3 linked regions of the Anolis sagrei genome follow. The protein of the gene in region 1 interacts with the protein of each later gene in a biochemical or structural test. Links are inferred from orthologs where the notes say so. Each region holds a gene or a part of one and is shown on either strand. Other genes may lie near its edges. The genes, in order: TFAP2A, KCTD15 and CITED2.

Region 1 (10,472 bases):
TTGATGATATCTTCCTGCCTGGGAGAATGAGGCTGGACTGGAGGGTGCTTGCCATCTCTTCTAACTCTTATGATTCTGTGATACCTAGATGGAAAACGACTCTGCCTATGCTCAGTGAGCACTATAGTCGAGGTCTCTGAAAAAAGTCGGTATGGGATAATGGCTTCTGAGCCTATGGTTTAAACCTGGATTTCACAGATTTCTGTCATTCAATCCCTATCGGCATTAATGCTAAGCCCTCTGATATTTAAATGCCATAAGTGGAGTAGAATTCATTTCAGATGCCATTTACTCGGATGGCAGCCCATTTCTCCCGGCTACCATCCCATAACTTGGGGGATTCTTGGGGTGCATTCTTGGGGTGCATTCTCAGAACAACACCTCAATCTCTAGTCTAGCTCCTCGTTGAGGTCTGGAAGCTTGATGACACAAGAGACTTGTGCAGTCCAGGGATGAAACCCAACACAAGCAAACAAGCGACAAATCAACACTTCATTGGGTTGTTGTAAGCTTTCCGGGCTGTATGGCCATGTTCCAGAAGCATTCTCTCCTGACGTTTCGCCTGCATCTATGGCAGGCATCTTCAGAGGTTGTGAGGCCGGCCATGAAAGCCTTCGACAATCCATTCAACACTTTATTGTCGCCAGGGTCGCTTCCTTTCCGAACACCACGGGTTTTGTGGCGTCCTGACTTTAAAAGTTCGCCATTGTGGGGGGCTGGTTGTTGCAAAGTACCAGAAAAAATGGGAAATCAAGAAAAGAGAAAAATCTCTTGTCTAGACATTGATCAGCGAGGCAGGGTTCTTAAATCAGAGGAGAGCCAGCCTTTCAAGTCCTCTACAGGCTGATTTAGGTGCCAGACTTTCCACGCATGGAACTCAGGCTGGATCTACGATGCATTATAATGCAGCTTCAGAATGCAGATTGACTGTTTCCCCCTGTTTTCAGAGTGCTGTCCTTTATTTACTGTCCTGATTTTAGAGTTTTTAGAATTGCTACAAAGAGACAAAAATATTTTTTTTCATTTTCATGGTCTCCTTTCTGTTGAAGTTGTTCATGTGCGTGTGGATTTCAACGGCTTCTCTGTGGAGTCTGACATGGTGGTTGCCAGAGTGGTCCAGCATTTCTGTGTTATCAAATAATATACCGAAGATGCCTGCCATAAATGCAGGTGAAAGGTCAGGAGAAAATGCTTCTGGCACATGGCTCGGAAAACTCACAACAACCCAGTAATTCTTGCCGTGAAAGCCTTCCACAATATATACCTCAAAACCTCTGAGGATGCTTGCCATAGATGGAGGCAAAAGATCAGGAGAGAATGCTTCTGGCACAAGGCCATACAGCCCAGAAAAACTCACAACAACCCTGTATTGCCAGCCATGAAAGCCTTTGAGAATACATACCTCACAACCTCTGAGGATGCTTGCGAAACATCAGGAGAGAATGCTTCTGGAACATGGCCAAGCTATTACCTTTTGTTCAAAAAGGACAATAGACTAAGGGTGTGGGGCTGAGGCTGAGAGAGTTGGTTCCCAAGACTGAGCAGGGGGTTCAAACACTGGTTTCCTAGTGCTTCTGGAACAGCCAAGAAAACTCACAGCAACCCAGTGATTCTGGCCGTGAAAGCCTTCCACAATACAAACCTCACAACCTCTGAGGATGCCTGCCATAGGTGTGGGCAAAAGGTCAGGAGAGAATGCTTCTAGCACATGGCCATACAGCCCGGAAAACTCACAACAACCCTGTGTTTCTGGCCATGAAAATCTTTGAGAATATATACAGTACTTCACAACCTCTGAGGATGCTTGCCATAGATGTGGGCGAAACGTCAGGGGAGAATGCTTCTGGCACATGGTCACACAGCCCGGAAAACTCACAACAACCCTGTGTTTCTGGCCATGAAAGCCTTTGAGAATATATACAGTACCTCACAGCCTTTGAGGATGCTTGCTATAGATGTGGGCGAAACGTCAGAGGAGAATGCTTCTGAACACGGCCATACCGCCCGGAAAACCGATTAGCAGGCCCTGATTGTTTACACCTCCCAACATAGGATTCCCCCGGCAGTAAGAAGCCAGACCTTGAAACTGCTAGGCCATTAAATGCTAATCAACGTGCCCAATTGAAACATTCACACCTACCTCGAACAGACAAGAGTTCTTTCTCCCACCCTGGACATTCCAGAGATACATAAACCCCATTTTCCTAGTTTCTAACAGACCTCACAACCTCTGAGGATGCCTGCCATAGATGCAAGCAAAACATTAGGAGAGAATGCTTCTGGAGTATAGCCATACAGCCCGGGAAACTCACAATAACCTTGTGTTTCTGGCCATGAAAGTCTTTGAGAATATATACCTCACAACCTCTGAGGATGCTTGCTATAGATGTGGGCGAAACGTCAGGGCAGAATGCTTCTGGCACATAGCCATACAGCCCGGAAAACTCACAACAACCCAGTTCTGCAATGGATGGGCATTTTCCTAATAGGAGCAACCATTGCCCCTGCTGGGCCTGGCTTTGATTTCGGTGTGTTTGCAGAAGGAGACAACTGGGGATCACAGGTACAAGAGGGAAAAGGAGTGAGAGAGAGAAGAATGGAGAGGATCCTTTAAAAAGGAAACCATTTGGGCCTCCTCCCCTAAGCCTCCCTCTTTCATTCTGGAGGAGAGGGGGGGGGCACCTTTCTGTTGCTTTTGCAAAGGAGGGGGCCAAGCGAATCCAATCGGGGGGGGCTCCTGGGGAGCTCCTGGCCGCGCGCGCGCCCGGTCTTGGCGCGCGCGGCGCAACTGGGCTGCGCCTGCTATGCTAATGAGGCGAGGCGGCTGCGTTGGGAGAAGACTGGCTCAGGGAAAGGGAGAGGGGGGAAAGTTTCGACCATTAGAGGGAGATCTGCGAGCGGGCACAGCGGATCGCCTCCTCCTCCTCTTCCTCTTCTTCTTCCTCCTCCCCTCCTCCTCCTCTTCTCAAGCCCAGCAGCGGGCGCGCTCTGCATGCCAGAGGAGAGCGCCAAGGCAGGCAGGCAGGGCATCACAGCCTCCCCTCTCTCTCTTTTTTTTCTTTCTCTCTCTCTCTTCCTTTCTCCCCCCTCTCTCTCTCGCTTGTCTCTCGCCTCGCCAATCCATGAAAATGCTTTGGAAACTGACGGATAATATCAAGTATGAGGAATGCGAGGTAAGCGCTTTCCCCTCACATCAGGGGATCCCCGAGTCCCTGCTTCCTGATCCCTTTCCCCCTCTCCCCAACAACAACAACAAGGAAGGAAGGAAGGAGCTCAGGGCAAGTTTGGAGCGAGGTGACTTGACTTCTCCCCTCTTTTTTGGGTCTGGACGCTGCAAGGCGAGGGGGCTCTTCAAAGGGAGGGAAGGTCCACAGTTGGGGGGCTGAGGAGGCGAGAGGGGCGGAGAAGGACATGGAAGAAGATGGGCTGAATGATGGATGGATGGACGGATGGTATCGGGGAGGGAGGGAAGGAAGGAGGAAAGGAAACGAAGCAGCCTGGCGCCGGTAGAGGGATCCCCAAGACCTCGAGACGAGTCTTCCCTCGCCCCGACGGTGGCAGCAGCAGCAGGGCACCAAAAAGATAAAGAAAAGGTTCAAGGAGTGGCTTCCGGAGTAGTTTGCCAACTCCGAGTCTGTTTTGCGCCCTGCTTTACTCGGGGTTTGGAGGAAAGCGGTTCCTCGATGGCAGGAAACTCCGATTTGGCACAGAAACTGGTTTTTTGTGTGTGTCAGGAGCGACTTGAGAAACTGCAAGTCGCTTCTGGAGTGAGAGAATTGGCCGTCCGCAGGGACGTTGCCCAGGGAATGTTTTTGATGTTTTATCATCCTTGTGGGAGGCTTCTCTCATGTCCGAGCATGGGAAGCTGGAGCTGACAGAGGGAGCTCATCCGCGCTCTCCCCTGATTCCAACCTACGACCTGACCTGTCGGTCTTTAACCCACTGCACCATGGGGGTAATGGGTACCTTTGCCGCACAGCGCTGCAGATGCTCTTTCGCTCTTTCGGGTCCCCTCCCTGACTATTTTCTATCCAGGATGCCCTAATAGTAGAGGACTCACCTTTTTTTGGGTGGTGTCAGGAGCGACTTGAGAAACTGCAAGTCACTTCTGGAATGAGAGAATTGGCCGTCTGCAAGGACGTTGCCCAGGGGACGCCCGGATGTTTTGATGTTTTATCATCCTTGTGGAAGGCTTCTCTCATGTCCTCGGGTGAGAAGCTGGAGCTGACAGAGGGAGCTCATCCGCGCTCTCCCCCGGATTCCAACCTGCGACTTGTCGGTCTTCAGTCCTGCCAGCACGGGGGTTTAACCCACTGCGCCACTGGGGGCTCACCTAAGATACTGGATGACTCGTGTAGGCGGGCAGAGGCGTTGAGTATGAACAGAAGGATGCCATGGATCCCCAACGGGAAATGAAGGCTGCTCTGGAAAGAAGCCAAACTCACAAGTGTTGGCGACCCCATTGCGCGCTTTGCAACCCTCCTCCTCCTAAGTAGATTGCAGTCAGGACCATTTTAAACCGGTTTTTCTGTCTCCTTCACATTCTGGTGTTGTGGTCCTTTGTTTGCAACCCCAGTAGAGGATTTAAAAAGCCCAGCATGGGCTAGCATTGAGATTTACAACTCTTTCGGAAGGGCGAGACTGTCAGAAGCGGGGAAATTTGGGAGCTTGCAGGTGGAAAGTACCCCTTAATGGCAAGAAACGGGAAAGTGGGGTCCTCCTGCGCTCTCCTCCTCTACTCTTCCCCTTCCTACAATCTTTTTTTGGGGGGTGGGGGGTGGCAGGTGGCAGAGCCATTCTTTGAAACTTGTCTTGCCCATCGCTTTGGCTGTGTCTCCGTCTTCGTTGCTTGTTTTGCTTCGCCTTTTGACGGTAAACAAACAGCTACAGCTCGGTCGCGGTGCTAGGAACTTAATCTTGGGAAACTGACACCGGTTAGAGTGAGAAGAGACTTCCAAAAGCCATCCAGTCCAACCCCATTTCTGTCAGGTGAAGGAAATATACTCAGGCGTGGACGCTTATCTCAGAGAGGTCCACGGGGAAAGGTCCACTGCCCTATATCCCAGGATTTGATCCCAGATTATCTGCTTATCCCAGATTATCTGGCAGTGTAGATTCATATAAATGTTTTTCACGTCAGGCGTGACTTGAGAAACTGCAAGTGGCTTCTGGGGTGAGAGAATTGGCCGTCTAGGTTACCATCCTCGTGGGAGGCTTCTCTCATGTCCCCGCATGGGGAGCTGGAGCTTAACCCGCTCTCCCCCGGATTCGAACTGCTGACCTGTCCTCAGCAGTCCTGCCGCACAAGTCTAGTCTTGTTGGACTCTTTGAGTTGGTACTCAACTCCATTTCTAAGCCGAAGGGTTTAGAGACACCTCCAAAGTCATGACTGCATGTTTTCGAATTGCTAGGTTGGCAGAAGCTGGGGCTAACAGTAGGAGCTCACCCACTCCCCGATTGGAACCTCCGACCTTTCGGTCAGCAAGTTCAGCAGCTTTAACCCACTGTGCGGGGGGGGGGGTCTGTAGACTCTATAATCCAGTTCAAATCAGAGAAATCTGGGACCAGATACTGGGATGTAGGGCAATGCAGGTTCAACCAGAAGGAAAGGGAGGGCAGGGAAAGCCTCAGGCTGACGAGGTGGCGCTCTTGGGGGAGCACATCTACACCAACCATGGAAAACCGTTTCAGACCTTGACTGGAGAAAGGACTTTAGTTGGACAGATGGTTATGTACTCAGGCCCTTTCCACACAGCTGAATAAAATCCCACATTATCTGCTTTGAACCGGCAGTATGGACTCAGATAACCCAATTCAAAGTAGGGGCTTTCTGCCTTGATATTCCGGGTTATATGGGTGTGCGGAAGGGTCCTTAGAGGCCTGGATGGTGAGGCCAAAACCGCAGAGGGTTGGTGCACGTGCGTGAACGTGTGTTTTTTTTTTTTTTTTTGTGTGTGCCTTTGGTGAGAGTTCGACTTCGGAACTGCGTTAAATGGCTAATGTAGATGGGATCGGTGGGGGAGAGGCTGGGGCCCCTTCCACACAGCCCTATTTCCCAGAATATCAAGGCAGGAAAATCCCACAATATTTGCTTTGAACTGGGTTATCTGAGTCCAAATTCAGATAATGTGGGATTTTCTGCCTTGATATTCTGAGATATAGGGCTGTGTGGAAGGGCCCACAGATAACCCAGTTCCAAGCAGATATTGTGGGGTTTCCTGCCTTGATGTTCTGGGATATAGGTCTGTGTGGAAGGGTTCACAAATAACCCTGTTCAAAGCAGATATTGTGGGGGTTTTCTGCCTTGATATTCTGGGATATAGGGCTGTGTGGAAGGGCCCACAGATAACCCAGTTCCAAGCAGATATTGTGGGGTTTCCTGCCTTGATGTTCTGGGATATAGGTCTGTGTGGAAGGGTTCACAAATAACCCTGTTCAAAGCAGATATTGTGGGGGTTTTCTGCCTTGATATTCTGGGATATAGGGCTGTGTGGACGGGGCCTTAGAGGCTTGGCTGGTGAGGCCACAACCGCAGAGAGCTGGTGCACGCGCGTGAAGGGCGCTTTTTCTTCTTTTTTGCGCCTTTGGTGGGAGTTCGGCGTCGAAACTGCGTTAAACGGGCAATGTGGATGGGGCGGGTGGGGGAGAGGTTGTGCTTGCGAGCTCTGCAGAGGCGGTAGGGAGGAAAAGGGGAGCAGGGCGCCTATGGCGGCGGCAGAGGAGTTGCCGAGCCAGTCGGACGGGTTGAGGAGCTGGGAGCTTGAGCTTGTCCGGGCCGGCAGAGCAGCAGTCGCCACCCCTTCCTTTCCCTTCCTTCCTTCCTGCCTTCCTTTCCCTTCCTACCTCTCTCCCCCCGAACCCGAAACCGGGGAGAGGCAGCTCGGCGGGGCCGCGACGGGGATCCAGCCGGGAGAGAGAGGGGGCCCTTGCGCCATGGAGGCCGCCACGGAGGCCCCCGCCACGGAGCAGACGGGCCCCGAGAAAGAGCCGGGGAGGAGCGTGGGCCACGACGAAGAGGAGGAGGAGGAGGTGGGGGAGGAGGAGGAGGCCCCGGAGGGCAGCTTCTCCGCCTTCGCCCCGCCGCCCCAGGTGTGCCCTGGGCTCAAACCCCTTCCCTCGGCTCTGGGCTCTCCTTTCCCCCTTCTATCCACTCTTTCCCCCCTTTTCTTCCTCCTCCTTCCCTTCTTTTTCTCTCCCTCTCCGGCCTTCTCCACTCTCTGCCTCCCTGGCTCCTTTCTCTTTCTCTTCCCAGGCTTTGGAACCTTTTAAAATGTGGCCCCTTCCCTGTGATTCGTCAGACGCCTCTCTCTCTTTCTCCCTCTCTCTCTCCCCCTCCTCCTTTTTGTGTCTCCCTCCCTCCCTCCTTTCCCCCTCCCTCCCTCCCTCCCTGATTAGATCCCCTGATCCTTCCCTTCAATGGACGTCATTTAGAACAGACTCTGCCTTGAGTCGCCGCCTCGCTTCACGCTCGATTTCCAGCTATTCTTCCCTTATTAAGTCTTCGTGTAATATTAATAGTCATGAATATCTGCTATTAGGGACTCTCGCTATTAGGGAGAAAAGCAAGCGGCGGATTTTTCTCCTCTCTCTCTCTCTCTCTCTCTCTCTCTCTCTGCCTCTTTCTCTCTCTCTCACGTGAAGTCAAAGGAGGGGAGGGCAGAGGGAAGAGGGAGGGGGCGCACACACATGCGCTCTCGCCCACACGCACCCTCTCTCTCTCTCCTCTCTCTCCTCTCTCTCTTTCACACGCTCAACTTTGCTTCCTCTCGCCTCGAGCTGCTGCGTTTGGGGTCCAGTTCGGATGGCTTCTCTTCGCCTGCGGTTCCCGGCTCGGGCGGAGCGGCAGCTTGGGCGCTGGGGACTGGGGTTGGGGGCAGTCTAGGCTTCTCTTCCCATTGTGTGAGTGTGGATGCGAAAGAGGGAAAGAGAAGGAAAGAGAGAGAGAGAGAAAGAAGCTGGGAAAGCGGCAGCTTAGGACAGGAAGAGCAAGGAAGGAAGGAAGGAAGGGGAGACGAGGAAGCGAGAGAGCGCGCTCCAGAGCAAAGAGCCATACTTTTTTTCTCTGCCTTTTTTTCTCCTCCTGCCTTGACTCCGTCGCCCCGCAAACCTCGCAGATGTTAGTTCACAGTTTCTCGGCGATGGTGAGTGGATCCAGATTTCTCTTCTTCGGGGCTGGGGCTGGAGGAGGAGGAGGAGGGCGAAACCGCGCTGAGACCCCCGACCCTGCCTGGCTTCCTTCCTCTCCCGCATCCCACCCAGACCTGGCTTCCTAGCCTTTCGCTTTCAAAGCAACACCCCACTTCTTTGAGGAGCCCTGCGGCTGCGCCCAGGTCGCCACAAAGGGCTTCCACTCCCTTCCATTGTTTTTCCTCCCCCCCCCCTTTTTTTTTTTTTTTGCTTTCGTTGTTATCGTCCCCGCTCTCCCTCTACAGTTCTTTTCTGCTTCTTGGGAGATGGAAGCTGAAGACCTTTTAGCATACACACACTATATATATATATATATATATATATATATATATATATATATATATATATATATATATATAATGAAAGGTGTTCAACTTCCATCTTCCATATGTATATATATATGGAAGATGGAAATTGGGTTGGGGAGAATATATATATATATACACACACATATATAGAAAGGTCTTCAACTTCCATCTTCCATACACACACATATACACACACATATATATATAGTGAAAGGTCTTCAACTTCCACTTCCACTTCAACTTCCATCTTCCATCTATATATATATATACAGATGGAAGATGGAAGTTGGGTTGGGGAGAATATATATATATATATATATATACACACACACAGAGTGAAAGGTCTTCAACTTCCATAGGAGGGAAGTTAGGTTGGGGACACACACATATATATTCTCCCCAACCCAACTCGGCCCCATCCCCCACCTTGCATTTGTATGGCTGTTAATTGGCTTTAGACATACCTGTGGGCTATAATCTCATAACCACCGAAGTCCCAATTGCACCCATTGCAAAAGTCATTTACATTTGCTTCCCTCTTCTTTTCCCGGCCCGCTTTTCCTCTGTTTCTGTTTTATCTTTTTGTCATTGCTTTCCCCCAAAAAATATTTAATCATTTTGTGTGTTCAGAAATATATCTATGTCATCTTTGTTTAGAGAGTTCTGTACTAATCTATCAGCACAGGCTGTGTATTATTATTATTAGAATAATATTATTAGAATACAGTTGCAACCAACAACGCATGTTGACGGCTTGTCCTTCTCACAACTCTCTTCCTCCTCTTGCAAATACAAAACCGGATTTGGCTCGCATTTCAATCGTCTATTTTTGAGAAATTGGCATTCGTGTCTCTCTCTCTGTGTGTGTATAACACACACACATATACACACACACATAAAAATATATAACTCACATACACACACATATATAAAATTCACTCACACACATATATGCAATTTTCTCAAAAAGAGACTACTGAAATGTGGTTTTGTGTATGTATGTGCGTGCGTATACACACACATTCATATGAATTTTTGGCTTAGGAAAAAACGAACAATTACAAAGCTTGGTCTCTTTCGCTTCGTTTTTGGGGTGCAAAAGATGCCACAACGTTTCAAGACACACACAGGAGAGAGAGAGGTGTGATTTTATTTTTTTTCCATTTTCTCATCAAACGAAAACAATCAGTGACCTTCCCCAGGAAGGAAGGAAGGAAGGAAGGAAGGAAGGAAGGAAGGAAGGAAGGAAGGAAGGAAGGAAGGAAGGAAGGAAGGAAGGAAGGAATCACCCTCTATTCTAATCCCAGTGGATGGACCTTCTTGTCCCCTCGACTGCCATTCATTGTTATTGATACAGATTCACTGTTCTTATAATTAATACAGATGCACTGGAAAGATGCAGATGGCATTCAGGAGCTCTGAAAGCTCCAGAACTGCTTTTTGTTTGGATATTTGTTTTGTTTGGCAGTGATCTGGGCTGGGTTTGTTGTGAGGAGTCTGGGTTATATGAGGGAGTGTTTGGAGGGTGGTTTTGTTGGGGATCTGCAAGCCTGCCCGCCTGATTGTGACCTCCGTCTCTGTCTCCCCTTCTCTCCTCTCCCCATTGCCTGTCTCCTTGCCCAGGACCGCCACGACGGGGCCAGCAACGGGACGGGCCGCTTGCCGCAGCTGGGCTCGGTGGGCCAGTCGCCCTACAGCAGCGCCCCTCCGCTCTCGCACACCCCCAACGCCGACTTCCAGCCCCCCTACTTCCCCCCGCCCTACCAGCCCATCTACCCGCAGTCCCAGGACCCCTACGCCCACGTCAGCGACCCCTACAGCCTGAACCCGCTGCACGCCCAGCCCCAGCCCCAGCACCCGGGCTGGCCCGGGCAGAGGCAGAACCAGGAGGCCGGCCTCCTCCACTCCCACCGCGGCCTGCCCCACCAGCTCTCCGGCCTGGACCCTCGCAGGGACTACCGGCGGCACGAGGACCTT
Region 2 (11,225 bases), on another chromosome or scaffold:
ATATAGTCAGTGTGGAAACATATCCTGCAACTTGAACTGCATTATATGCCCAATGTAGATCCATATTGCGCAGCTTGAACTGAGTCAGTTTAGATCCGTGATGCGCAGCTTGAATTATATTGAACTGCATTATATAGTCAGAGTTGATCCATATCATGCAGCTTGAAATGTGTTGAACTGCATTATATGCCCAATGTAGATCCATATTGCGCAGCTTGAACTGAGTCAGTTTAGATCCGTGATGCGCAGCTTGAATTATATTGAACTGCATTATATAGTCAGAGTTGATCCATATCATGCAGCTTCAAATGTGTTGAACTGCATTGTATGCCCAGTGTAGATCCACACTGCGCAGCTTGAACTGCATTATATAGTCAATGTTGATCCATATTATGCAGCTTGACTTGTATTGAATTGCATTATATGGTCAGTGTAGACCCATGTCATGCAGTCTGAACTACATTATATGCCCAATGTAGATCCATATTGCGCAGTTTGAACTGCATTATATCGTCAATGCTGATCCATATCATGCAGCTTGACTTGTATTGAACTGCATTATATGGTCAGTGTAGACCAATATCATGCAGTCTGAACTACATTATATGCCCAATGTAGATCCATATTGCTCACTTTGAACTGCACTCAACTCCATTATATGGTTATTGTGGATCCATATCATGCAGCTTGAATTGCACTATATATATGCAAATGCAAATAGTCAGCGTAGACCCATGCCATGCAGCTTGAACTGCATTATATAGTCAATGTAGCCCCTTAATGTGCACCTTAAACTGCATTATATGGTCAGTATAGACCCATATCATGCGGTTTGAACTACATTGAACTGTATTATATGCCCAATGTACATCCATATTGCACAGCTTGAACTGCACTGAACATTATATGGTCATTGTAGATCCATATCATGCAGCTTGAATTGCATTATATATATGGTCAGTTTAGACCCATACCATGCAGCGTGAACTGCATTGAACTGCATTATATAGTCAGTGTAGACTCATATCATGCAGTTTGGACTCCATTACATATGCCCAGTGTAGATCCATACTGCGCAGCTTGAACTGCACTGAACTTCATTATATACCCATTGTGAATCCACATGATGCAGTTTGAATTGCAATGTAGGCCCCTTCAATGTAGCCTGAACTTCATTGAACTGCATTATATAGTTTGCGAAGACCCGTATTGTGCATCCTAAACTACATTATATGGACAATGTAGATCCATATTGCGCAGCTTGAACTGTGCGATATGCCCATTGTCGATCCATATCATGCAGCTTGAATTGCATTGAACTACATATATATAGTCAGTGTAGACCCATATTATGCATCTTAAACTGAATTATATGTCCATTGTAGATCCATATTGCGCAGCTTGTAATGCAATAAATTGCACTGTTGTAGATCCATATCATGCAGCTTGAATGGCATGCCGGGCAGCTTGAACGACATTGAACTGCATTATACAGTCAGTGTAGACCCATATTGTGTATCTTAAACTGCATTATATGTCCAGTGTCCAGTGTAGATCCATATTGCGCAGCTTGAACTGCAGTATACTGCTCTGTTGTAGATCCATATCATGCAGCTTGAATAGCATGCCATGCAGCTTCAACAACATTGAACTGCATTATATAGTCAGTGTAGATCCATATTGCACAGCTTGAATGGCATTGAACTGTATTATATAGTCAGTGTAGTTCCATTTTGCGCAGCTTGAATGGCATTGAACTGCATTATATAGTCAGTGTAGACCCATATTGCGCAGGTTGAATGGCATTGAACTGTATAATATAGTCAGTGTAGACCCATATTGCGCATCTTGAATGGCATTGAACTGCATTATGTAGTCAGTGTAGACCCATATTGTGCATCTTAAACTTCAATATATATCCCGTGTAGACCCATAATGCGCAGCTTGAACTGCACTATACTGCACTATTGTAGGTCCATGTCATGCAGCTTGAACAATATTGAACTGTATAATATAGTCAGTGTAGACCCATATTGCGCAGCTTGAATGGCATTGAACTGCATTATATATTCAGTGTAGACCCATATTGCGCAGCTTGAAAGGCACTGAACTGTGTTATATAGTCAGTGTAGACCCATATTGCGCAGCTTGAATGGCATTGAACTGTATTATGTAGTCAGTGTAGACCCATATTGCGCAGCTTGAATTGCATTGAACTGCATTATGTAGTCAGTGTAGATTCATATTGTGCAGCTTGAATGGCATTGAACTGTGTTATATAGTCAGTGTAGACCCATATTGCGCAGCTTGAATAGCATTGAACTGCATTATATGCCCATTGTAGTTCCATATCATACAGTTTGAACTGCATGACCTGGGTCTACACCGACCTTATAAATGCAGCTCAGTCTGCACTCTTTGGCAGCGTAGACCCAGCCGTAGCCACAGGGAAACAGAACGCATGTGCAGGAATAGATTTGCACCAACATTTTCCCTTTGGAACAAAAAAAAAAACAACAACACCCTGCCGTTTCCATTTCTCGTCTTAAATGGGCATGAAGGAATTAAACTGTGCCAGTGAATAACAGCATTAGTTTCAATTATTTCCCCTCCCCAAATCCTGGCAACCATAAAAGTTTGGGTTTTTACATCCTTAATTAGCCTGCTTTCCCATCTGTATTTCTGTTTTAAGTGCCGGAGTGCTTTGATTTAAACTTGGCCTCCCCTTCATCCCTCCCTCCCACTTCCTTCTTCGTTCCCTCCTTCTTTCTATCTATCTTTTGTCTTCCCTTCTCTTGCTTTTCTCCCACCTTTGGCCTCCTATTCTCCTCCCTTACCTGATTGCAGAGGCAGTTTGGTGCAGTATAGTACAGTTCAAGCTGCGCAATATGGATCTACTCTGTCCATATAACTTTTTCTCTATACACACAAACATGTGTGTACAGCAACATGGCTTCCTATGGCCCTGAGCTATGTGCAAATGTGGGGAGCGCCTCCATCCAGCCCCAGTGTAGTCAGTGTAGACCCATATTGCGCAGCTTGAATGGCATTGAACTGCATTATGTAGTCAGTGTAGACCCATATTGCGCAGCTTGAATGGTATTGAACTGCATTATGTAGTCAGTGTAGACCCATATTGCGCAGCTTGAATGGCATTGAACTGCATTATGTAGTCAGTGTAGACCCATATTGCGCTGCTTGAACGGCAAAACAAACTTTTGAAGCCCGATTTCAATGTCTCGCATCCCTGAGTGTGTATGAATAGGAAGATATCCTTTCAGAGAGAGAAAGAAAGGGAGGAAAAGGAGAGGCAACACCCTGGAAATGTCTGCCGCCGTCTTTCAGCGTTCCCTGCCTCGAGGCATGCATGCGCCCGAGGGCCTTGGAGTTGAATGGCGCGCTCACAACCGCCTTCTGTTTACCTTTTATGGTTAAAATAACAGCTTTTTTTGCAAAGGAGCAACTTTGCAAAAGGGAACAAACGGCTCAGATTGGGTGAAACTCATCTCAGGCAGAAGCGGAGCTGGTTTAATCACCCCTAGAGAGCTGAACAACTGCGAGCTCAATGGGACACAAAACCATTTTGTGTGTAAATGAGCATGGGATGGCGGTGATATTCGCTTTCCATGGGCAAATAGTTTTTACAAGCAGCCGTTTGAGGCAGGGAGCGAGCGGAGGAAGGCAGCAAGGATGGTGCGAAGGCACCTGGTGGGAAGAGGCATGCGCGCGCATGAGAGGCGGCAGCGTCTATGCACACACATGCAAAGGCAATGGGCATGGCGGACCTATGGCACCGTCCATCCGCAGGAAGGTCCCTTCCCACATTCATTCATTCATTCATTCATTCCAAGGGAGACAGGCAAGGGAAGGCCCCAAAGCATTGCATTTATAGTGCATAATACTCTTAGGTAGGCAGACTGCACATAGGGTCAGTGCGCTTCCATGATGCACCTTCTCCCTTTTGCTGAGAAAGGCCTCAAAATACTGAAAAGGAGTCTCATTTGGGAAGCTTTAGGTCAAAACAAGAGATTTAAATGTGTTGTTTCGGAGCATTCCTTATGGAAGCTTAAAGTATCATCTCTCTATTACTAAGTCAAAACAGAGTTTATAATGTTTTGTTTTAGTGCCTTCATTAGAGAAGCTTAAAGTATAACTTGGATGTCTATCTGTCTCTCCCTCCCTCTCTCTTTATCCATCTTTCTATCGATCTCTCTATTTATCTCTCTGTCTCTCTATCTTTCTATCTCTCTATCTGCCTCTCTGTCTATCTCTGTCTCTCTGTATCTCCATCCATCTCTCCATCCATTTCTCCATCCATCTCTCTTACTCTCTATCCATCTCTCCATCCATCTCTCCATCTCTCTGTATCTCTATCCATCTCTCTTATCTCTATCCATCTCTCTATCTCTCTGTATCTCTATCCATCTCTCTATCCATCTCTCTATCTCTCTATTTCTCTATCCATCTCTCTATCTCTATCCATCTCTCAGTATCTCTATCCATCTCTCCATCCATCTCTATCCATCCCTCTATCTCTCCATCCATCTCTCTATCTCTCTGTACCTCTATCTATCTCTCTATCCATCTCTCTATCCATCTCTCTCTCTGTATCTCTCTATCCACTCTCTATCTAGCTCTCATATCTCTGTATTTGTTTCTCTATCTAGCTCTCTGTTTTTCTATCTATCCATCTCTCTACCTCTCTCTATCTCTCTATCCATCTGTCTATCTCTATCTCTATCTGTCTCTCTATTGAACTCTCATATCTCTGTCTCTACCTCTCTCTCCATCTCTCTCTCCCTCTTTCTATTCATCCCCCCTCTCTCTATCCATCTCTCTATCTGTCTCTATCTCTATCCATCTCTCTATCCATCTCTCTCTCTGTATCTCTCTATCCACTCTCTATCTAGCTCTCATATCTCTGTATTTGTTTCTCTATCTAGCTCTCTGTTTTTCTATCTATCCATCTCTCTACCTCTCTCTATCTCTCTATCCATCTGTCTATCTCTATCTCTATCTGTCTCTCTATTGAACTCTCATATCTCTGTCTCTATCTCTCTATCCATCTCTCTCTCTCTCTTTCTATTCATCCCCCCTCTCTCTATCCATCTCTCTATCTGTCTCTATCTCTATCCATCTCTCCATCTCTCTCTAGCTATCTAGCTATCGCTCTATCAATCTCTCTTGTCTATCTATCTATCTATCTATCTATCTATCTATCTATCTATCTATCTCTTTCTCTATCTCTCTATCCATCTCTCTATCTCTATCTGTCTCTTCGTCTCTCTATCTCTGTTTCTCTATCCATCTCTCTATCTCTCTCTGTATCTCTTTATCCATGTCTATCTATCTCTCTATCCATCTCTCTATCTCTCTCTGTATCTCTCTATCCACATGCCCCCCCCCCCCCTCTCATCTCTCTGATATACATTTTGCTCTAACTCAAAACAAGACTTGAAAAAATGTTAGTTTGGGGCATTCCTTAAAGAAGCTTCAAGTATAACCTATCTATTATCTATCTATCACTAAGTCTAAAGAGAGTTTTAACGTTTCGCCTGCACGTTTCGCCTGCATAGATGCAGGCGAAACGTCAGGAGAAAATGCTTCTGGCACATGGCCATACAGCCAGGAAAACTCACAGCAACCTGCCATAGATGCAGGCGAAACGTCAGGAGAAAATGCTTCTGGCACATAGCCATACAGCCAGGAAAACTCACAACAACCTGCCATAGATGCAGGCGAAACGTCAGGAGAAAATGCTTCTGGCACATGGCCATACAGCCAGGAAAACTCACAACAACCTGCCATAGATGCAGGCGAAACGTCAGGAGAAAATGCTTCTGGCACATGGCCATACAGCCAGGGAAACTCACAACAACCTGCCATAGATGCAGGCGAAACGTCAGGAGAAAATGCTTCTGGCACATGGCCATACAGCCAGGAAAACTCACAACAACCTGCCATAGATGCAGGCGAAACGTCAGGAGAAAATGCTTCTGGCACATGGCCATACAGCCAGGAAAACTCACAACAACCCAGTGATTCCAGCCATGAAAGCCTTCGACAATACAAAGTATATATCTGTTTCTATCATTTATCTTTCTAACATCTATATATCTATCTATTGATGAGTCTATCTCTAAGTCAAGACAGAATTTAATACATTTGTTTTAGTGCTTTCCTTAAAGAAGCTTTGAGTATCACCAATGTATCCTCTGTTTATCTATCATCAACCCAATCAACCATCTATCTATCGCATCTAGCTTTGAGTATCACCAATGTATCCTCTGTTTATCTATCGTCAGTCCAATCAACCATCTATCTATCTGTCTAGGGATTGATCCCAGTGTTGTGTTATGGTCTTTGTAGTCCCGGAGGGGAAAGGAAAGTCATTCCAAGTGTCTTGACAGTAAAAAGGCTGTTGACAGTTCGGCGTGCCGTCTCCGTCTCCGGCGACATAACAATAAACCCCGGGAACGGTGCCGTTTTGCTTGGCTTTGTTCATGTGCCATCTGCACCCATCATTCCAGGCTCCCATTGGATTGCGACCCACATCTGCCCCGTTTGGGTGGGCCGTGGCTTCTTCCCCATTGTTCTCTGCCTCTGAGAAGTGAGTGGGAGGCGAGGGACGGTCCTGCCCAAGGAAAGGTATAATAGGAGGGCTCTAATAGAGAGAGAGAGAGAGAAGAGAGAGAGAGGCACATGATCCGGAGTGAGGCATGAAGCCTTGCCGCCCGGTGCCGAACAACGCCTTGGAAGCCAGCCCCATTGGGCGCCAATGGACTTTCTTTCAAGTAAGCGTGCTTATGATTGGGCATCGCCTCCCTCGCGCCTGGCAGGAGACCCAAACCCAACACAGAGCGGCTCCTGCCTCACTCAAACCGATTCGGGAAAGGGAAGATGATCTGCAGGAGAAGCATTTGGATGGTAGATACAACTTTGCATGGATTGCGACGATCGTTGCCAGGCTCCTTCGCGTGCCTTCGCTCTTTAGTGTGCTTTCCCTCCCATTTGGGAATGTGTCTGTTGTGCCGGATACATACAGTGGCTAGTTTTCTCTGTTTCGGGTCTCATTCGTTGTAACAGACTCTCTTTTGTTGCAGAAATAGCTCTTTTCTCTGGTTTTTGGGGGACGATGGGTTAAACTGGATCAGAACCAAGGCAGGCAGAGGCAGTGTTTACCTTTTGGAGTTTGAATAAGAGTGCGCATTTGGTGCCAAATAAGAGAGATGGAGAGAGAGATAGGGAGATAGAGAGACATATAGATAGGGAGAGAGAGATGGATAGAGAAATAGAGAGATGGATAGGGAGAGAGCGAGTTTGATAGAGAGATAGAGAGATGGATAGAGAGAGGTGGGTAGAGAAATAGAGAGATGGATACAGCGATAGAGATATAGATAGAGAGACAGACAGATAGAGATATGGATAGACAGACAGGTAGAGAGATAGAGAGATGGATAGAGAGACAGATAGATAGATAGATAGATAGATAGATAGATAGATAGATAGATAGATAGATAGATAGAGAGATAGATAGAGAGATAGATAGAGAGATGGATAGAGAGATGGATAGAGAGATGGATAGAGAGATGGATAGAGAGAGAGACGGATAGAGAAATAAAGAGATTGATAGAGAGATAGAGATGTGGATAGAGAGACAGATAGATAGATGGATGGATGGATAGATAGAGATGTGGATAGAGAGACAGACAGACAGATAGATGGATAGAGAGATGGATAGAGAGATGGATAGAGAGATGGATAGAGAGAAAGAGATACAGATATGGATAGAGAAATGAGATTATCCATGGCTAGAGATAGATAGAGAGATGGATAGAGAGAGAGAGACGGATAGAGAAATAAAGAGATTGATAGAGAGATAGAGATGTGGATAGAGAGACAGACGGAGAGATGGATAGAGAGAAAGATGCCGATATGGATGGAGAGAGAGATGGATAGAGAAATAGAGAGATAGATAGTGAGACAGAGAGAGATACAGATATGGATAGAGAGAGAGAGAGAGAGAGAGAGAGAGATGGATAGGGAGAGAAAGAGATTGATAGAGAGATAGATAGAGATGTGGATAGAGAGGGGTGGATAGATAAATAGAGAGATGGATAGAGAGATAGATAGATAGATAGATAGATAGATAGATAGATAGATAGATGAATAGAGAGAGAGATACAGATATGGATAGAGAGATGAGATGGATAGAGAAATAGATGGATAGAGAGAGAGATGGACAGAGAAATAAAGAGATTGATAGAGGGATAGATAGAGATATGGATAGAGAGACAGAGAGGGAGATGGATAGAGAGAGATACAGATATGGAGAGAGAGAGATGGATGGATACAGAGATGGATAGAGAGAGAGATACGGATATGGATAGAGAAATAGAGAGAGAGATACAGATATTGATAGAGAAATGAAATGGATAGAGAGAAAGATACAGATATGGATAGAGAGAGAGATACATATATGGATAGAGAGAGAGATGGATAGAGAAATAGAGAGATGGCTAGAGAGATAGATGGAGAGAGAGATACAGATATGGATAGAGATATGAGATGGATAGAGAGAGAGATAGAAAGATGGATAAAGAGATGGATAGAAAGAGAGGCAGATAAAGAGATTCGAATAAGAGCGCATCTTTTGTGCCCAATAAGTGAGATAGAGAGAGAAATAGAGAGATAGAAATATGGATAGGGAAATAAAGAGAGAGAGAGAGAGAGAGAGAGGGATAGAGAGAGAAATGGATAGAGAAATAGAGAGATAGAGGTATCGATAGAGAAACAGATAGAGAGATGGATAGCGAGAGTTACAGATATGGATAGAGAGATGAGATGGATAGAGAGATTGAGAAAGAGATGGATAGATAGAGAGATGGAGAAAGAGATTCGAATAAGAGCACATCTTTGGTGCCGGTGGGGACGTTGGTTGTGTGTCTGCCTATCTGTAGCTGTAGTATTTGATGCACCCGCAAAACTATCATCTGTCATTGATTTTGTCAAAAAGCAAGTTCTTTGGCTTTTGTGGGGAGACGTGACGTCTTTGCCGAAGATGACTCACCGTATCCGGGAGAAAATCTCTCGCTACTCCTTTTCAGGAATCCAATCTTTCTTCTCCTTCATGTCCAAACGTGGATGATGATCTCCTCTCCGCTTGGACTGATGTTTTGCATCAGCGTCGCTCTCCGGTGGTTGATTTCCGAGTCCATTTCGGGCACCAAGAAGAGAGAGAAGAAAGATATATTTGGGGGGCGATACATCTTTGAAGACCACGGCAACCAAATAGTCAATCAGGCAAATAGTTAATAGTCTTGGTTTTGGTGCCACAGTTGCGACAAAGTCTTCAGATTGCTGATCTCTTCCGCCCGTTTCCATGTATTTTAGGATTTCTCAGGTGATTTCTAATGGGAGTCGGTTGTGTTTTGGTCAGGTGTTTTCCAAGTTATGTTTCAATCAATGGCAAAAGGTGGGAAAAGGTTAGCAGAATATTGTAAATACAACCCAAGAAAACGAAACGAGGCTTAAGAACATTTCCTAGCTGTGCTGTTTACCATGTATTGTTTATACTCCGAAATAAGTAAATGCAATGAGTGTTTTGTGTCGCTTGTATGGCTTTGTCACAGATCCAATTAGTCACCTGTGTCTCATTCTGATGTTGTCTTGTGCCGAGCGAAGCGACATTCATATTCATCAGAAGGCAACGCTTGATCTTTCTCGTTCCTTTGCAGCTTAAGGTGTGTTGTCTTTGCGCTGATCCGAAACGTTATACGTTTCAGTCGAAATCAGTATTGGATATGTTTGCTGTCAATGTCGTTAAAATGCAAGGAAAGTATTTGCTATCATGAGGTTATGTGTGCGTTTGTGTGACTTGAAACGAGGTTACAGAACTCTTGGAAACGGTGCGCTAAGGATCAAAAATAGTCGTATTTTTTTTTGTCCGAAGCTTGCTTTCGATCGGAAAGTTGGGAATTTGATAACGTAATCGGTATCCCTTTATTATCCTTCAAAAGCAACCCAAATAGTTCCGAGTTTGAACGTGATTCGAGCCTCAACGATGCGCCCGGGGAGCTGAGGAAGTCACTAATTTAGAGGTGTCTCGTTACGGAGACAAACTTGCAAAAATAACCCCCCGAACCCTAATTCGCAAATTGGCTCTCCGTTTGTCGGGGGGATATTTCACATCTCGCGCAGGAGCCGGCGACCTTTAATTAGAATTTTGCAGTTTGTTTTCAGCCCCTGGAGGCTGACACCTTGGAAAAGATTCCTTTTTCTTCTCGATGTCTTGGTGCTAATAAGCATCTTTTTTTCCCCCCTTCTTCGCCCGCCGGTCCTTTGAAGAGGGCGATGCAAACACACTTAATTACGGAGGTGGCGGCAATTTGTAAGCGGAATATGCGATCAGGCAGAGGCACAAGCGATCTGATGAGATGCTGTGATCGCGCCCCGGAATGAAGGCGGGCGGCTACGCGGAGATAGATAGATAGAGAGAGAGAGAGATGGATAGGTCGCGGGAATAATCACCCTTCCCTTTTGTTCTCTCTTCCCGGGGCTTTAGGAGGAAGGAAGAGCAATGTCCCGGCTGTCCTTAACGCGCTCCCCGGTTTCGCCCCTGGCCGCTCAAGGGATCCCTCTGCCAGCGCAGCTCACCAAGTCCAATGCACCCGTCCACATCGACGTAGGAGGACACATGTACACCAGCAGCCTGGCCACCCTCACCAAGTACCCCGACTCCAGGTAAGCCAGCCCTACTCAGAACTTCCGCCTCACCTGGTGCCCACCTGAAGCACCTGTTGTGATCATGATGCTTTGTCCAGAGTACCTGTTGCAATCATGGCAACACCTGTATTCAATCTGATTTTGCATTGAGGAATGCCATTTTAGTATTGTGTTTCTAATTATTTGTGTCTTCTCCCTTACCTGGAGACACCTGTATTCCCCAATACATGCCCCCCCCCCACCTGTCCTAATGATGCTGTGTGCAGAGTACGTGTTACGGTCGTGGGGACACCTGTATTCAACCTGATTTTGCACTGAGGAATACATTTTAGTATTGTATTTCTCATGCTTTGTGTCTTCCTCTTTACTTGGAGACACCTGTATTCCCCAATACATGCCCCCTCCCCCACCTGTCCTAATGATGCTATGTGTCTTCACCATTATCTGGAGACACCTGTATTCATTGATACACGTTCCCTCTACCTGTCCTAATGATGCTG
Region 3 (10,475 bases), on another chromosome or scaffold:
ACATGGAAAGGTAAGTTAGGCTGTTAAAAGCATATGCAATTAGTGTGCAGAACTGAGCATGTACAGCTCAAATATTGATGATTGCTTATACCAATATCCATGCCCTTGCCAGCTCCACATTCCTTTTGCTTTGTGGATGTACACTTAGTAATTATTTGAACTACTTCTAATGTTATGCAGCCTGAAGATCTGAGTTTTCTTCTCCAAGGGAGATGTTTATTACTTCATCCACTCCTCCCTGTAGTAATTTATCCCAACGCTATGGCATCTCTGATTAGAATAAATGGTCCTAGATATCATAGATTAGCCCAACCACAACATGAAAATGGGAGAAATAGAAGCCAGGAGAGTAGAGCATTTTGAAGTTGCTACAGTATTGATTTGAGAAAGTTACTTTAAATGTCTCAATCAGCTCACCTTTTCCAATTTGATATAAACTGATTTGAGAAAGTTACTTTAAATGTCTCAACCAGCAAACCTTTTCCATTTTGATATAATCTCCCAATAAAACATGAACAAGTCTTGTATTTCTATTATGTTTTCCCAGGAGGAGGCGGTGTCAAAAAAAGGGCTACTTCTAATTATCTACCACAAAATTAAAGAGACACGAATATAGATGGGGAGAGAGATGTCATTTGATCAGATTCAGGTATCTGATCTTTACTCGTGTTAGTATTTGAGTAACACTACTTCACTCCAATGATAGCAAGATCAAATAAACCAAGCTCCTGCTATAATATAAATATTTTCCCACTTTCCCATGCCAAAAAGATGAATGTTATCCATTTTCAGAATCAGCACTCACATCCTAAACTATAAAACTGGTTCAACTTTGCCAAACAAAATGTTTTCCACCAACACCAGAGTTCAGCTTCCCAACTCTCTGCTCCCATCTGTCCTGTGGATTTCAATTCTGTACAATTCCCCATCTATATTTGTGTCTCTTCAATTGCTAAGCTCCTTTTTATGATGTATACAAGAAACAAACGGGGATACAAATTCTGCAGTGGGTTGTTGTAGGTTTTTTCGGGCTGTATGGCCATGGTCTAGAGGCATTCTTTCCTGACATTTCGCCTGCATCTATGGCAAGCATCCTCAGAGGTAGTGAGGTCTCACTACCTCTGAGGATGCTTGCCATAGATGCAGGCGAAACGTCAGGAGAGAATATCTCTAGACCATGACCATACAGCCCGTAAAAACCTACAACAACCCAGTGATTCTGGCCATGAAAGCCTTCAACAATAAATTCTGCAGTGTTTTTGTGTTTACACAACCCGTCTAACAAGAAATACATGTACAGAACGAACCAACTCTTCCATAGATAAGATAAATGAGAGTATTTATAAAATTAAAGTTTAATAGATAAATAGAATAAATACTTTATGCATCATAATTCTGGACAACTACATTTAAAAGCAAGTAAGTTGTTGGCAAATCACAAAGTCGTTGCCTCTTGGCATTTCTCCACTTTTTGATAAAATCACACAGGCATGTTACAATGTTACTTATGAGACTGGGTGTCATAATTAGGCTTAAATCCTTTTTTACCTTCTGCACTGATTGTGACATAGAGCAAACAATGGTGCCAAGTAGATTTTCCTTCAGAAAGTTTCACACAACCCAACAGTTCAACAAGTCAAATGGGTTATATGGATTTAAAGATGTGTGTGGAAGGTGGGACGAGTGGGTGGGTGGGTGGGTGGGGGGAGAGACCAGGAAAAAAATCCAGGTAGTTGAGATCTAGTGGGTGGGGAAATAAAGATTTCTTAACTTTGTATTGATCTTGACAAATAAAAATAAAAATAAATTAACAATTATCTCCTAAAAAAATTGTACAAAAATACTGTCAAATTTCTAAAAAGCTTTCAACACAGTAATTTCTCCCCCGAATGCTAAAAATGTATGTAAGCACAATACCAGAAGAAAAATAATGAGGAAGAAAGGACCAGAATCAAAAGAAAATAAGAACCAGTGAAGTATTTTCCCAACAATCAAGAGACCATTTGAATCACACTATATTGTCTGTACAGATGGGGTGGAGGGGGGGGGGGGATTTCCAAGAACAGCAGAGTTTAAGTAACTATTATTTTTCCTAATCAGGAAAGGGTTTGGCCCACATTTGTTAAGCTTTCAGGTTAGCAGACTCAAAAATAAATTAGCATCACGGCAATGCATAGTTCAAAACAAAGCAAGAGGGCAGTATTTGTGCAGGAATCTACCCTGAAGTTCATGCAACCAACTAATGAAGCATTTTTGTCCTTTTTTTAAAACTCGGAATTTGACTGTAGTTCTAATCCTCTGAAATGATAGCCTACAGAAAATCCACAAGATTTAAGCATGTTGCCAATATATTATCTAATAATTGAAACTGTTGGTAAGTTCCCAGTGATGAAGAAAACGGATCACAGAAAGGGGAAGGAGGAGAAAAAAAAAAGGAAATTCTAGAGGCTCAATCAGTTTAAAGTATTCCTAGGGAAGGGAAGGAAGACATGGGTGTCAAAGTTTAAAAAAAATGTGACAGCAAATTAAAAAAGGGGGGAAATTATACGTTTTGTCATTTACTCTGCTTCCCAGGTGGTCAAGCTCCTAACAGCCTTTGAAATACTGTGTTCGAGAGAGGGAATGTTTTCATTCATACAGATTAAAAAAGTCCTTCTTTGTGTGTTCGGTTCCGCTTCCTTTCGCGCGAGAAGTCAGCAGCTCACTCGGCTGGATTGCTGTTTGCAAACAAAGTCTGTCATGAAATCAAACTCATTCTGTCCCAACCAGAGCTCCGGCAGCTCCTTGATACGATCCAAGCCCATTTCCACCACTAAGGACATAAGGACTTCCTCGTCTATGAAGTCAGTGTCTATGACATTGGGCGGCAGCATTGCTGCAGGGACGTGGGCCACGGAGGAGGGCACAGCGCCGCTGCTGGTGCTGCCGCTGGTGTTGCTGTGCTTCGGGTTGCAGTCCCTAAAATGCTGGTTAGCTCCGTTGAGCTGATGGCTGGCAGGGTGCATGTCCGGCATGTAGTGGTTGTGAGGGTAGGGGTGGTGGCTGAAGTACTGATTATTCAGCTTTTGCAACTGCATACTGGCCGTCAAGGGCCCAGCTTGGGGAGCCACCGTCGGAGCCATGAACTGAGTATTGCTAAACCTCGCCGTGGGGGGCATGGTGCCCGGCGGGTGCCCACCATTGACATTCCCGGGCCCCATGGTGTGCTGCCGGATCCCAGTGTTTGCACTCATATTCCCGCCACCGTAGTGTATGTGGTCGCTCATCAAGGCACTGAAGGCATGCTGCTGCTGCTGCTGATGGTGGTGGGTCGGGAACTGGCCCATGCCCATTCGATGCGCCGGGTGGTGATGCATCCCATTGGTCCCGTCGGGGAAGCGCCCGTGATTCATGGCCATCATGTGGTCTGCCATTGCCAGCCTTTCAAAGTTAATGTTTACAGAGAGAGAGAGGAGAGAAAGAGATAAACAGTTTTGCCACCAGCGGCCAAAGAGCCCCAGAGTCTCCGAAGAAGGCGGTCTAAGGCAGCCCTGCAAGCACGCCACCCACATCCACCCACCCTTCCCCTCTGCGTGATGTTTTGGACATGGATAAAGCAGGCTGGAGCTTTCTTTCTTCAGGCTGTGCAAGGCAAAGGGGAAGGAAAGCGCCAGCACACACCCCTCGGAGCCCAAACCACCCTGCAACCCGGCCCACGTCCACCCTACACACCCCCTTTTCCTCCCAACCCTCCCCTTGGCGTTGGCGAGGCGGATCCATTCAAAAGACATTCTCTGAAGGATGTCATCACACAACCTTGCATAAGAAGTCCAGATGCCACCACCAGCCTGGCCGACCTTCTCGCTTTCCTTCCCCTTGTCAACAACTTTGGGAATTAGCAAGGATTGCTCGGGAGAGGAGCCTAAGTGGATTAGAAGGGGGTCTGGCTGCAAACCCTCCGCTGACCCCCAGCCCTTCTCCTTCCCCCTCGCCCGCCCTCCCTCCCTCCCTCCAAGGGGCCTCTCCGGCAACGCGGCCGGGAAAAGGGCACCTTTCCCTTCCTCTTCCCCTTCCTCCTCCCTCGCCAGGCAAACGCACTCACCTCGCGCCCTCTCTTTCTTCTTTTCCTCCGAACCGATCCCGCAGGGGAAGGGGAAAGGGAGGGAGAAAAAAGCCCACTCAGCAAAGCTCTCCCAGCATAGAGGAAACTCTTCCCCTTCGCCTCTTCTTTGCACAGGCTAGGACGGCGCAAAAAGAAAAAAAATCAGCAATAATACACAAGATTGCAATTCCAACTGCTGCTGCTGCTGCTGCTGCTCCCACCGCGCAGCCCGATGCTGCCAGCCGTAGCTTTCCACTCCTCGCCAACAATGCGCTGTGTTCCTTCCCCTGCTTTGGCCGAGGCTAATATAGGCTTTCCAAAGGGAGGAGCGAAAGCCCGAAGAGGCGAAGCAGAAGGAAAACCCGGAGCGAGCCGCGAGGACGAGCAGCCCCCGCGGAACGGGAAGGCCACCGAGCCAGAAAGCGGCGGGGAGAGGGCGCCGACGCCAGCGGGTTTGGGCACAGAGGGCAGCCAGGAAGTGGGTCTCCTTCCACCCAAGGTCCCAGCACCCACAGCCACCTTGACAACATGGGAGAGGAGGTCTAAGGGGGGGGGGGGGGGGAGGAGAAACCCCTGACCGGCTCGCCAAGCTTTGGAGGGAATTGGCCATCGAAATGGACACAATCTGGCTGCCAGTATTAAAGAACTCTAAAATCAGGACAGTCAATAAAGAGCAACACTAACCCCACCCCCCCAAACACAAGGGAATTCCAGACAGGAAACAGTCAGGGCCAGCTAACATCTCCCAACAAAGGATTCCTCCAGGGCGGCAGCAATCAGCTAAGCATTGAAGCTTCAAGGCTATTACATGCTAATCAAGGTGGCCAATTGCAACATTCACACTTGCCTCAAGCAGACAAGACTTCTCTCTCCCACCCTGGACATTATTCCACGGATATATAACCCTCACTTGCTTAGGTTGCTGTGAGTTTTCCGGGCTGTATGGCCATGTTCCAGAAGCATTCTCTCTTGACGTTTCGCCTGCATCTATATTAGGCACCCTCAGAGCTTGTGAGGACCTCACAACCTCTGAGGATGCCTGCCATAGATGCAGGCGAAACGACAGGAGAGAATGCTTCTGGAACATGGCCATACAGCCTGGAAAACTCACAGAACCCAGTGATTCCGGCCATGAAAGCCTTCGACAGTGTCCTCACAACCTCTGAGGATGCTTGCCATAGATGCAGGCGAAACGTTAGGAGAGAATGCTCCTGGAACATGGCCATACAGCCTGGAAAACTCACAGAACCCAGTGATTCCGGCTATGAAAGCCTTCGACAATACATCTCACTTGCTTAGTTCCCACAGACCTCACAACCTCTGGAGATGCCTGCCATAGATGAGGGAGAAACGTCAGGAGAGAGTGCTTCTGGAACATAGAAAACTCCAGCAACCCAGTAATTCACCAAGGTTTGGAAGAGTTTTGGGGGAGAAACGTCAGGAGAGAATGCTTCTGGAACATGGAAAACGCACAATAACCCTGCGATTGCGACCATGGAAGCCTTCGACAATACATCTCACTTGCTAAGTTCCCACAGACCTCATAAATTCTAGGGATGCCTGCCATAGATGTGGGCGGAACGTCAGGAAAGAATGCTTCTGGAACATGGAAAACTCACAGCAACCCAGTAATTCACCAAAGTTTGGAAGAGTTTTGGGGTACGCTTTCTAGCCCCTCCGCCCCTCCTTATGTAGGGATTGCCACCATTTCTCTTTGGGTATGAAAGACACACAAGCTAACACACCAGATGGTCGCCCAGTTCTTCCCCCTCGGAGGAAAGAGCGAGAGAGGCTTGCTGTAAAGCAGCCTGAGAGCATGATGCTGGGGTGTGTTTTGCTGCCCCCCCCTCCTCCTCCTCCTCCTGCACAATGGCAATGGGGACCCTTGGAGGGAGAGCGCCAAGGCGCACCAAGCAAGCACCCATGTTTTCCAATCCCCGGAGGTGTTTGTACACACACAAGAGAGCCTTAACCTATGCCATTTGGACCTGCATGATATACAGGCAGCGTAATGCCGATGCCACAGCATTCTAGGGCAGAGTAGATCCAGTCCTTGTTGCGCGCCGCTCAGAGATCCAAGCCACGCTTTCCGGGTGGCGTGGAGAGTTTGCGCTCACCTCTCCGGGTAAGCTTTGGCACTCGAAAAGAGGCGTCTCTTTGCTAGGCAAACAAACTCCGCCAGCCTCGCTCCAAAGATCCTCGCTCTCCCTTCCCCCCCGTTTAATAAACAGCCCCCCTCCCCTCCCCTCCCAGTGCGTGCGTGTGCGTGCCGTGTGGACATTTGCCCTTGCTGGGCCTGGGGAGGGCAAAGGCAAAGGCAAAGGCAGCCCTGGCAGCAGCAGAGCAGCCCGCCTTTCCCTTTCCGCAGCGAGGGGGAGGCCAGGGCCTTCTGCAAGCCCACGGTCCGACCCCGAGGCTTGCCAAGAGAGGGCGAGGAAAGGCAGGGCGGCAATGGCTGGCTCAGCAAAGCGCCTCCAGGCCCCGCTTGGGTTTGGCCCCGGCGATGAAAGGGTCAATGCAACTGATAATGCAACAAGGAAGCCGGAAAGGCGCCTCCCTGGGAGCTGCCAGGCGCGCCCATCCCCTCCTCTCGCGCCAAGAGGACACCCAGGGCATCTGCACTCTGGAATTGAGGCAGTCTGGCACGACTTTTTAAAACTCCCATGGCTGTGGAATCCTGGGAGGTGTAGTTTGGTGAGGAGCTTACACTCAGGCAGAGAAGGCGAAAGACCTTGTAGAACTATAACCTCAAGAGTTCCATGGCATTGAGCCATAGCATTGGGTCACACTACATTTATTCTAGGGTAGATCAGGCATGGGCCAACTTGGGCCCTCCAGATATTTTGGACTTCAACTCCTACCATTTCTAACAGCCTCAGTCCCTTTTCTTTCTCTTTCCTGCTTAAGCGACTGAGGGGGAAAAGGAAGGGGCCTGAGGCTCTTAGGAATGGTGGGAGTTGAAGTCCAAAACTCCTGGAGGGCCCAAGTTGACCCATGCCTGATGTAGATGCACTCACAGTGGCAGGAAAGCTGAATCCTAACACGCTGAACCCTACACATGACAAAAAAAAAAAAAAAAAAAAAGAAAAGGCCAGGGCCCACTTTACCAAGGCCCACTTTGACCAGGGCCCACTTGACCAAGGCCCAATTTGACCAGGGCCCACTTGACCAAGACCCACTTTGACCAAGACCCACCTTGACCAGGGCCCACTTGATCAAGGCCCACTTTGACCAGGGCCCACTTGACCAAGACCCACTTTGACCAAGACCCACTTTGACCAGGGCCCACTTGATCAAGGCCTACTTTGACCAGGGCCCACTTGACCAAGACCCACTTTGATCAGGGCCCCTTTGATCAGGGTCCACTTGATCAATGCCCACTTTGACCAGGGCCCACTTGACCAAGACCCACATTGACCAAGACCCACTTTGACCAGGGCCCATTTTGACCTGGGCCCACATGACCAGGGCCCACTATGACCAGGGCCCACTTTGACCAAGACCCACTTTGACCAGGGTCCACTTGACCAGGGTCCACTTTGACCAGAGCCCACTTTGACCAGAGCCAACTTTACCAGGGCCCACTTTGACCAGGGCCCACTTTGATCAGGGCCCACTATGATCAGGCCCACTTGACCATGGCCTACTTTGACCAGGGCCTGTTTTGACCTGGGCCCACATGTTCCGGGCCCACTTGACCAAGACCCACTATGACCAAGGCCCACTATGACCTGGGCCCATTTTGACCAAGGCCCACTATGACCTGGGCCCACTTTGACCAAGGCCCACTTTGACCAAGACCCACTTTGACCAGGGCCCACTTGACCAGGGTCCACTTTGACCAGAGCCTACTTTGACCAGGGCCCATTTTGACCAGGGCTCACATGGCCAGGGCCTATTTGATCAAGGCCCACTTTGACCAGTGCCCACTTGACTAGGGCCCATTTGAACAGGGACCACTTGGCCAGGGACCACTTTGACCAGGGACCATTCTCTAACATTAGTACCAATAAAAGAGGAAGGAGGTTTGTGGTCCAGAGTTTTGTTCTTGCAGTCCATTGCTGGGCCGCAGCCCACATGTTGAGAACCACTGCCTTTGACAGTGAAGTAAAATCTTTTAAATCACTCCCAGCTCCCTTTTCCTTCTTGTTCTCCATCTATATGCCAGTTTTGTTTAGCATCATTGGCATTGGGGGAATGGTGGGGAGTTGGAGAAACACAGTGGTTTCGTGTCAGGTTTAAGCAACAAGTCTGTAGTGAACAGCACAATAAACCAAGGGAAGGAATGGGGTTTTATTTTCATTGATATTATTGTGTGCCTGACTACAACAGGTTAAACAGCAGCTGCCCCTAAAATCCCTTACTGAACCTGTAAAGAAAGAGAGTAAGGAAAAACAGATAAGCCTGCCTCAACAGTTTTTCCAAGCATATTAAATAAACATCCATAAATTTGACCTCGAAAAAGGAAATCATAAGAAAAGTGGAAAAAGAAAAAGCCATCCCTGGGTGCCTTTTAAAATAAGCCTTCAAGTGAATCTCTGAAGGTTAAAATGTTTTTGTTTACTTACACAAATCTTTCTTGACTTGATTGTTTCATTTCACAAGTACATGCTGTTAGGATAAAAAGTTTGCCTAAATCTGTTGGATTGATCTTCCATTTTGTGGTATAAAAACCTAGCCCTGTTCTTTCCATGTTGATTCTGGTACCACATTTTCTGCTAAAGAAGGAATGTCAAGGAACATTTTAAAATTTATAAACTGGGAGTGGCAACTCAAAACTTTTCACTAACCTTCTTTAAAAAGTTAACTAGGTAAAGATAAAGGTTTCCCCCTTACATTAAGTCCAGTCGTGTCCAACTCTGGAGGTTGGTGCTCATCTCCATTTCTAAGCCGAAGTGCCGGCATTGTCCATAGACACCTCCAAGGCCATGTGGCCGGCATAACTGCATGGAGCACAGTTACCTTCCCGCCAGAGTGGTACCTATTGATCTCACATTTGTATGTTTTTGAACTGCTAAGTTGGCAGAAGCTGAGGCTAACAGTGGGAGCTCACACCACTCCCTGGATTCAACCTGCAATCTTTCAGTCAACAAGTTCAGAAGCTCAGCAGTTTAACACACTGCACCACCAGGGGCTCCAAAAAGCTAACTATTACACATCTATTTGTCTTTTTCACACCTTTTATTTCCTTCTGCTTGTACTGATAACAGCAAAAGATGTGGTTGTTCATTCTTAGTGTCCTGTCCATCATACGTCGTTGGTTGTAAGCCACCTTGTGTCCTGTGTGGGGAGAAAGATGAGAATGTTAAAGAAATCCAGCTGGCCTTCTTCGTTTGTGAGTTTAACTTTTGTGGATTTGATTATTCATGGATATGATTAATATGTTCTGTTTTGGAATCTCTTAAGTCCTCCAGCTGAACGTTATGGTCAACTTTAGGTGGAAATAGACCATAAAGTTGGACTATGTGAAAGTTAGTGGGTTTTTAATTTGCAGCTTTCCCACTTTTAGGGGTCCTGTGCCCCTAAACCCAGCGAATGCAGAGGGCCATTTGTAAACAATTCATTGGTAGGTCAAACTTCCCAGATAGATACCCTGCTGGTTCCTCCTAGGTCAGTAGCATGTGAATCTGCTTAGAGTTTCAGCCAGAACTCTGAAGGAGTTATCCAAGGTGCTGACTCTATTTTGATTATACGTTCAGCACTTTAAGCAATTCTAAGTAAACACTAGAATTCCAAACATGGGGAATTCACCAGTCACTGATAAGGAGCCTCCAGTGGTGCAAAGGGTTAAACTCTTGTGCTGGCAGGACTGCTGACTGAAAGGTTGGCTATTCGAATTAGGGGAGTGGCATGAGCTCTCGTCTGTCAGCTCCAGCTTCTAATGGGAGGCATGAGAGAAGACTCCCATAGGGTGGTAAAACATCCGGGTGTCTCCTGGGCAAAGTCTTTGCAGACAGTCAGTTCTCTCATACCAGAAGTGACTTGCAGTTTCCCAAGTAGCTCCTGACATGAAAATCCAGTCACCGATAAACCACAAATCTCATCATCCCTATCCAGCATGGCTTTTGGGGGAGGGAGGCATGCCTAGGTGTCCTTGCTGGAACACATCTGCATCATGCACAAGTTTGTAGTCCTCAAACAAGAAGATAAACGGAAAGCTGAGTGCGCTAGCAGGGCAAGCCCTTCCCCCATTGCCCTCTTTGTCTGCCTATTCTCTCTCTCTTCTCTCATCTCATCTCCTGATGGTTAAATTGCTACTTCTCAGGGATACTCCCCTTTAATCAGGTTTCAGCCACATGGGAAGTCCCTAGGTCCTTCATTTTGTTCTTCTATAAGTATGGAGAAAGATAAGATGTCTGCTTCAGAGAGCTAGATAAATAGCTCGTCCCTAACT

What was found.
Region 2: the proteins of TFAP2A (region 1) and KCTD15 form a complex in vitro, tested with the Homo sapiens proteins (2 studies listed by BioGRID, with this or other methods). The link is inferred for Anolis sagrei from reciprocal best matches to the Homo sapiens genes TFAP2A and KCTD15.
Region 3: the proteins of TFAP2A (region 1) and CITED2 form a complex in vitro, tested with the Homo sapiens proteins (2 studies listed by BioGRID, with this or other methods). The link is inferred for Anolis sagrei from reciprocal best matches to the Homo sapiens genes TFAP2A and CITED2.

Annotation. Positions count from the first base shown.
Region 1 is NC_090024.1:83,532,785-83,543,256, forward strand, and holds the start of TFAP2A (transcription factor AP-2-alpha), read left to right. Parts: upstream 1-5,294; 5' UTR 5,295-6,705; coding exon 6,706-7,089; intron 7,090-8,114; coding exon 8,115-8,141; intron 8,142-10,118; coding exon 10,119-10,472.
Region 2 is NC_090028.1:2,917,353-2,928,577, reverse strand, and holds the start of KCTD15 (BTB/POZ domain-containing protein KCTD15), read left to right. Parts: upstream 1-6,390; 5' UTR 6,391-6,719; coding exon 6,720-6,794; intron 6,795-6,808; exon of another isoform or gene 6,809-6,900; coding exon of another isoform or gene 6,901-6,927; intron 6,928-10,564; coding exon 10,565-10,743; intron 10,744-11,225. UniProt on the Homo sapiens protein: During embryonic development, it is involved in neural crest formation. Inhibits AP2 transcriptional activity by interaction with its activation domain.
Region 3 is NC_090021.1:78,464,754-78,475,228, reverse strand, and holds CITED2 (cbp/p300-interacting transactivator 2), read right to left. Parts: upstream 4,377-10,475; 5' UTR 4,082-4,376; intron 3,421-4,081; 5' UTR 3,414-3,420; coding exon 2,694-3,413; 3' UTR 1,338-2,693; downstream 1-1,337. UniProt on the Homo sapiens protein: Transcriptional coactivator of the p300/CBP-mediated transcription complex. Acts as a bridge, linking TFAP2 transcription factors and the p300/CBP transcriptional coactivator complex in order to stimulate TFAP2-mediated transcriptional activation.